Linked DNA regions of Coturnix japonica. The protein of the gene in region 1 purifies or fractionates together with the protein of each later gene. This does not show direct contact. Links are inferred from orthologs where the notes say so. Each region holds a gene or a part of one and is shown in the gene's direction. Other genes may lie near its edges.

The links.
Region 2: the proteins of EWSR1 (region 1) and DDX17 purify together in Homo sapiens (affinity purification with mass spectrometry; 3 studies listed by BioGRID, with this or other methods). This does not show direct contact. The link is inferred for Coturnix japonica from reciprocal best matches to the Homo sapiens genes EWSR1 and DDX17.

The regions. Positions count from the first base shown.
Region 1 is NC_029530.1:9,960,335-9,963,429, reverse strand, and holds part of EWSR1 (RNA-binding protein EWS), read left to right. Parts: intron 1-485; coding exon 486-523; intron 524-1,103; coding exon 1,104-1,136; intron 1,137-2,046; coding exon 2,047-2,165; intron 2,166-2,720; coding exon 2,721-2,850; intron 2,851-3,007; coding exon 3,008-3,095. UniProt on the Homo sapiens protein: Binds to ssRNA containing the consensus sequence 5'-AGGUAA-3'. Might normally function as a transcriptional repressor. EWS-fusion-proteins (EFPS) may play a role in the tumorigenic process.
Region 2 is NC_029516.1:46,423,120-46,427,369, forward strand, and holds the start of DDX17 (probable ATP-dependent RNA helicase DDX17), read left to right. Parts: upstream 1-1,323; 5' UTR 1,324-1,641; coding exon 1,642-1,685; intron 1,686-4,250. Other genes in the region: DMC1 (meiotic recombination protein DMC1/LIM15 homolog), read left to right, coding at 140-209. UniProt on the Homo sapiens protein: As an RNA helicase, unwinds RNA and alters RNA structures through ATP binding and hydrolysis.

The DNA.
Region 1 (3,095 bases):
GGGAATGTCATCGGAACTGTGTTGTAGGCATCGCGTGTGGTCATCTCCTCCCTTTTGAACTGTTAATGTCAGGGTCCCGGCAGGCTGAGGGTGCACTTTGTGAACACGCCGCAGGGAGGGAGCGACCAGCGGGCAGCCCTGGATCACAGGGATTGATCTGCAACGCTCACGGATGGGTGTCAGTTTGGTTTGGTGGTTGTTTTCTTTTTGCCAAGTATTGCACTGCTAATACCAATACAAAGTAATGGAAGGGTACCGACAGCAAAGTGGTGTCTAGAACCAGACAAGCGAGGTTGTGTATGTAAAGGAAATTTGAGCGAGCTGCCCTGAAGAAAGGCATAGTGACGAGATGAGAGAGAGAGAGAGACAGATGCATTGTTTGGAGATGTTTAGCCAGTGCCCTTCTTCCCTGTGAGCCGCAGAGGCTCAGAGCGGTACTGGCTTTGTAAAGGGAAAGGCCTTCATTTCTTCGTTTATCCCCCCAGCAGCGCTGGAGAGCGAGGTGGCTTCAATAAGCCTGGTGGTAAGTTTTTGAGCATTACAATGGATAGTGTTTAACGGAAAAAAAAAAAAAAAAAAGAATAATAATAATAATAAATAATAATGATAATAAAACAAACCAATTGCAGTCAGTCTGTAGAAAAAAATAAAGTGTAATTTGTCTTAGTTTTAAGTGGTTAAAAATGACGTATGCAACAAGACTGTAATGGGTAGAGCCGGCCATGCCCAGGGGTACGCGGTTACAGGTGATATGGAAGCATTGAGAAACCACTTCTGTAATTGGGGGAAAAGAAATGGTTTGGATTTGATAATTCTTAAGTAACTTTTGGATTAACCAACTGTAAAACGGATTGGCCTGGTAAAGCATTAAGACAAAAAACCAACCCCACGCAATAGTGGTTAATGGATGGAAAGGCTGCTAAAAACAGCGAACCGGTCGCCACGTAGAGGTGCATTGCTGGTGATTGTGCAGTGCGGGTCAGTTGGAGTTTAACCAGCGCCATCGAATGGTGGTTATAAGTAGATAGTGATGTGTGTGTCGCTCCTTCAGCCCGCAGGGCCTGCACTAACACTGCTTCTTATGGTTCTCTCCCGACTGGCAGGACACATGGAGGAAGGACCGGACCTTGACTTAGGTAATTGTCACTGCTCACACCCCTCCCAGGCTGCTGGCGTGGAGGTTTCTGTGCCCATCTCAGCTGGCAGAAGATGTTGCCCCGTATCTCGCCCTCCCATAACCCAAGTACAGAGGTGCTCTGCTGTTTGCAGTCTCTTTGGGGCTGTTTCATCTGATTCTCTATTCCTGGTTCATCAGAGCGCTTGGACTGGTGGAAGCCCACACGTGTCTGTGAGATGCTTGTGCTTCTCTATGGAGCCAGGGGGCTCTTGCCAAGGAGCTGCTGTGTGGCTGCCTGGAGCAGCAGAAAGCACGTTCCAGGCTGCAGCAGTCTGGAGCTTGTAGGCACTTGTCCAGCAGTCTCCTTCCTCCTTATAAGATCATAGAATGGTTTGAGTTGGAAGGGGCCCTTAAAGGCCGTCTTACCCAACCACCCCCTGCAACAAACAGGGGCACCCACAGCTCCATCAGTGCTCACAGCCCCATTACCTGTGGCTGTCTGCAGGGATGGTGCACCACCCACCACCTCAATGGGCAGCCTGTGCCACCCCCACCTGGGGCCCTTTTCTTCCTCCTGCACAGACACATTTGGTAGTTCCCCATCAGCCTAAGGAAAGAGGGGATTATAGCAGCAGGAGGGGTGAGCATCCACATGCGGGACCTGGAGGATGCAGGGGTGTGTTGTGCCTTTGGGTCTCGCTCATGCCCCATTGCAGAGGTCTTGCATGGTGCCCTGGCCATGCTGGGTGGCTGCAGCAGAGAGCTCAGCCCTTAGCACTGCTCTCTGTGCCTGGGGTTTCCTGGAGTGCCTCAGTTCTATGTCGCTTCATAAATGCACTTATTGAGAGAGAAGCTGCAGCTGGCTGAGGGGTGACGTGCTGCTGGATCGCTGCCTCTTCCACTGCCTGACCCTGAGATTTGTCTCCTAGGCCCACCTATAGACCTGGATGAGGACTTGGACAACAGCTCAGTGTATGTGCAGGGACTCAATGATAACGTGACCCTGGAGGATCTGGCAGACTTCTTCAAACAGTGCGGGGTTGTCAAGGTGAGAGGAACGTGTGTGTGCAGGTGAGCACAGAGAAGGGAGCTGGCTGCCTCCTCCCTGCCCACTGTCCCATTCAGCCCCTTCTGTGGAGCCGGGCAGCTCTGATGGGCAGTGAGATCAGCACAGCCTGGAGCTGCCCTGTAGCACAAGCTCCCCAAAAGATCCTCATCAAGCTTTGTCCCTCTGTGCACTTCCATCAGCCATGCAGAAGCAGCAGTGCTTACAGACTCAGGAAGCATCCGTCTGTGGATCTGCTGCGGGTGGGATGTGTGACAGCTTGAGCGCAGGGCGGTGGGGAGAGTGGAGGAGGATGTGGGGAGGCTGCAGCTCCATTCCTGCACTCACAGGAGCCTGCAGGAGAGGCTGCTGGGCCAGTTCCTGCTTTTGGTTGCCATGGGTGGCTGTTGGTGTGGTAAGCCAGAGGGCCATTTCTCTTGCCACGGAGTTGCTAAGTGGAAGTGTTAGCTCAGATCAAAAGCAGAACAGGGGGGAGAGCCCCCACTCGGTGTATACGGGGATGTGTGACTTGTTATAAATGATTTGATGTCCTGCTAGATGAACAAGAGGACTGGGCAGCCCATGATACACCTCTACATTGACAAAGAAACTGGCAAACCGAAAGGAGATGCCACGGTCTCTTATGATGACCCATCCACTGCCAAAACAGCTGTGGAATGGTTCGATGGTGAGTATGGGGTGTGATGTGTTGGGATTGCCCTTCTGCTCCACGTGATTATGGACTCCGTGCACTTGTGTGCGCCCTGGGAACGTGTGTGTGGTGCCGGGCTCTGTGTGGAAACCCCCAGCACAAAATGAGGCTCTTGCCTTTGTGTTCCTCCTAGGGAAGGACTTCCAGGGCAGCAAGCTCAAAGTCAGCCTGACGCGGAAGAAGGGCCCGATGAACAGCATGAGGGGCGGGATGCCGCCACG
Region 2 (4,250 bases), on another chromosome or scaffold:
CTTTCACATTTTCTCATCTTGATGACATCATGCACGTCACATATTGAAGTATCCCGTGTCGCTTTGACTTTAAACCTTTGGCAGACCGTTCCATTTAACACTTGTGGTTCTCTTTTCCCCCCTCTTCCCTCCCCTCCAGTCCTGAGATGCCCGAAAATGAAGCCACATTTGCAATAACTCCTGGAGGGATTGGAGATGCCAAAGAATAAGTGGGAACCTCATGCAGACATACAGCTGTTAACCACCAAGGCGCTTCGTTGGGATGAAGATCTGCTCCAGGTCGCTGCCTCCCCTGGCTGCTTTTTATCTGCTTGGAATCGTTTGAGAGGTGTTTGGGATAAACCGTGTGTGCTTCAGTGTTATTCAGCTGGTTCATTTGGGGTCTTCTCTTTTTAATTGGCAATAAATAGCTGATGGAAACAACAAGCCCAGGAGCTTTGCGGCACTCCATGTGTGGAAGAAGAGAATTAAATACCTGGAATACTTTCACGTCGGCCAGATTGCTTATTGAAGCACTTTTAGAAGAGAATGACCTAAAGTTGTTTATACTAAAGGGAATAATAAAGACCTAAAACGAGAACAGCACTCTGTGTGTCTTTGGGTGCTTCTCCTCCAGCCCCACTCTCACTCATCCCCAAGCCAGATACAACCCAACCTTTCACAACCCGTGTGGGGCACATCAAGCCGTTGTCTCGCAGCCAGGACAAAGCACACATCATGGCTGCCTCCCCTCTCGCTGCTGCCCGTGTGCTGAGCCCACAGCCCCCTGACAACCTGCCCTGTGAGGGGGCCCCGAGCCCACCCGGCCCTCGCAGCCCCCCGCACCCCCCTCCGCCGCACCGCCCTTATTGTCTCCTCCACAGCGGCAGCCGGCGCCCGGCCGAACAGCCGCATTCTCTAAGCGCCGCTACGCTGAACGATCAGCGTAATCCTCCGACCCTCCGCCAGCCCTTCCTGCACAGCCCGCGGAAGAATTTTACGCAAAACGTCGGGTTCTTCCTGCTCTACGTCAGCCTGAGTTACGCAAGCTGCGTACGCCGTGCGCTTACGTAACGTACGCCTCGGCCTAGCTTTTCCCTACCCTCTAGAAGGGGTTACGCTGTAGGCTCCTTGCGTAGTAGACTTTGAGGAATAAGAAGAGCGATACTCCCCTTACTCCCCGCCTCACGCAGGGGCTTCTGAAGCGTAGACTGTTACGCAATCTCCGTATATCGCTCTCTGTTCGGCGCAGTGTTCCGCCAAGAGCGCGTAGGGCGTAGTTGGCTTCCGAGAATTAACGTAGGCGTTTTCGAGAGCCGCAGTTTGCGCAGCGCCGGGGCGCCCGTAACGTAAGTGAAGCGGGTTGGGGCGGCGGCGGCCATTTTGTGCCGGGAGCCCGGAGGAAGAAGACGCGAGTGTCTCCACACTTGACGGGCCCTGGAGCCGACCGAGAGCCCCGCCGTTCCCTCTGCTGACGCTCAGCGGGTCTCTGACCCACTGACCACTTCTTCTTCGTTTGTGTCCCTCCCGAGAGCCGAGGTGGCGCAAACCGAGTCCTCCGAGACCCAGCCGGCGTTGGCCGGGCCCTCGCCCCGCACCCCCAGCCCTTCGCCGTCACCACGGCCGGCCTTCCGATGCCTCTCGCCCACCCCCCCGGGAGCCATGAGGGGCTTCGGGGACCGGGGGCGCGACCGAGACCGCGGCGGGTAAGGGGGTGACGGGGAAGGCCGGGCTGGAGGGCGGGGGGACGCGAAGGGGGGATGGGGGGGGCTGAGGAGCGCTCACCTCAGTTGGAGAGGCTGGGGGGGCGAGGGGAGGGGTCGGGAGGGGGGATTTCTCCTCACACTTCGGTGTTGAGGAGCGTGAGGGGGCACTGGGGGAGAGGACGGACATTTCACCCCTGTTTTTCACGTTGAGGGGATTTGGGGCCGTGTTATTATGGCTTTGGCAACAAGGGGTGGCTTTGTTTTTATTTACTCTTAGTAACGTGCCAAGCTTGCAATTCTAAGGCCTACCTCTTCCTTTTTTCCCCATATCCTTAAGTTATTTTCTCCTTTAACCAACCACCTCTCCCCTCCCCCCCCCTTGCCACCCCCCCACCAAACGTGAACGGGGATCTCTGTGGCCCTGACGCTGCCCTTCATGCTGTCATTGCTCCTTTGGAGCTCCCTCAGAAGATGGCAGTTGGTGAAGGGCCCTTCTCGTGAGAGGAAATGAGAGTGAAAGCTGCCACTGAGCTGCGTGCGTGCTCAGGAGGCCAGTAGCTGTAAACATGGCCTGGGCTGTGCTTAGCAAGCACGACCGAGCTGAGCGTGACCAGCCTTAGCATGACCAAGCTGATGGAGCAATCGAGTGGGAGCTGTCTGGCTGCCGTGGCTTGGGCCTAGTGCTTAGTGCTTCCAGTCTTGCTAGTTAAGTTAGGAAAGGGTTTTGTAGGTTTGACTCCTAAGGATGGCAGCAATAGGATAATATTATAGTATTTAAATGGTTCGCTACTTGGTTTTCTTCCTGAGGGTTAAAAGCAATAAGAGTCATCCTAGAGAAACTGGAAACCTGTTTAGGACAGTGGCATTTTCTATTCTTTTAATAGCTAGTAGTTAGGCCTCCTTTCTCAATGATTAACAATAAATGTATCGTATAGATTTTGTTACATTTTAGGTCTAGTTTGCCATAGCAATACTATTTTTCATGGCTTGTCTTTTTTTCCTCCTCTTTCTCAATGACAGATTGAGGAAAATTTTGTTTATGCATCGAAATCCACTTTAACATTTAGTTTCTCTTCGTCTGTGGAGGGAGATAGTCGCATTTAGGCTTTATCTTTGCACCCACATTTCTCACTCTGAACTTAAAGCATCCTTTCACTTTTTTTCACAGGGAGGAGGGTTGTGTTTTTCCACCATGAGCTTTCCGGCTGAGCACAACGCAGGGACATCAGTGTCAATGCTCTGGCAATCTGAGATAACTCAGGCCCAGCTGCTTTTGGAGTTTAGAGAGCGTATCTGAGTGTGTAGATTTATTTCGAGTTACCTAAAGTAACACTGTGCAGAGTGTTGTTACAATGCTTAGCATGCATGACATTTGTGTCGTCATACTCTGCAGGAGGGCTTTGCTTGTAGATTCTTCTGTTGTAGATCACGGATGTGATGTACGAAGTAAGGAAGGAGTGCCTTATTTGTCAGGATTTTGGACATCTGCATGGAAAATTGTTTTCTTGGCCTATTACAGCAGATTGACTGTATCAAGATTCAGCCACCGACAAGCATCACAATTCAGAAATAATTTCTCTGAGAATGTGGGGCCACCCAGGATGCCGTGTTCAGAAGTTCTTCACCTTCCTAGTGCTGACTCTTCCTTCAGCTAACAAATCCAGGCTTCCAGTTTTCTTCCTGTCTGTAATGAGCTGTAGGTGACTGCTTAGGATAGGCAGCTGTACTGTTTTGCTCTGGAATGTAGTAAATTCTTAGTTGTGTCCCAGAATCTGTGGCATAGTAGCTTTAGAAAGGAATGTTCTGGGTCAGTCTGAATTTCTCTTTAACTGAAAGGTGAAATCGGTGAAGTAATCTTAGTTTTAAATCATCTTGACCAGAGCTGGAATTGGGTGGTTCCCACCAGGTTACTGGGGATGGTTGTTGCAGGAGGGCAGCAGGGTTGGCTTCCTTCAGGTCAGTGTGCAGCCATATATTGCCTGTGGGGATGGAGAACTGGAACTGCCGCACTTGTGTCAGAGCGTATGATTCATAATCACAGAATCATCGAAATCACCTGGGTTGAAAAGGACTACAATGATGATCCAGTTTCAACCCCCCTGCTGTGTGCAGGGTTGCCAGTCACCAGACCAGGCTGCCCAGAGCCACATCCAGCCTGGCCTTGAATGCCTCCAGGGATGGGGCATCCAGAGTCTCCTTGGGCAACCTGTTCCAGTGCTCCACCACCCTCTGTGTATGGGTTCTTCCCTCTGGATAGCTGTGGAGCACATAGAGTGCTCAGCTGTTTTGGGGTCCAGTCTTACAGTCAGCTTTTCCTCTCGCTCTCCAGTGAGTCCAATAAGGATGTCTGTGCCTTTTGGTAGAACTGCTTGGTTACATCAGTAGTTACCATTTGGACTTCAAGTTAGCATGGTCAGCAGCAGGTATCTTCAGCAGAGCAGGATGTTTCTGGAAGTGATCTGTGCAATTGTTGTTTATCCTTTGTTCCAGAAGGAAACTTATTGCTTAGAAGTAACTTTTCAAATTGCATTTTATGGTCTTGGCCTGTGACAAAAATAGCTGGTT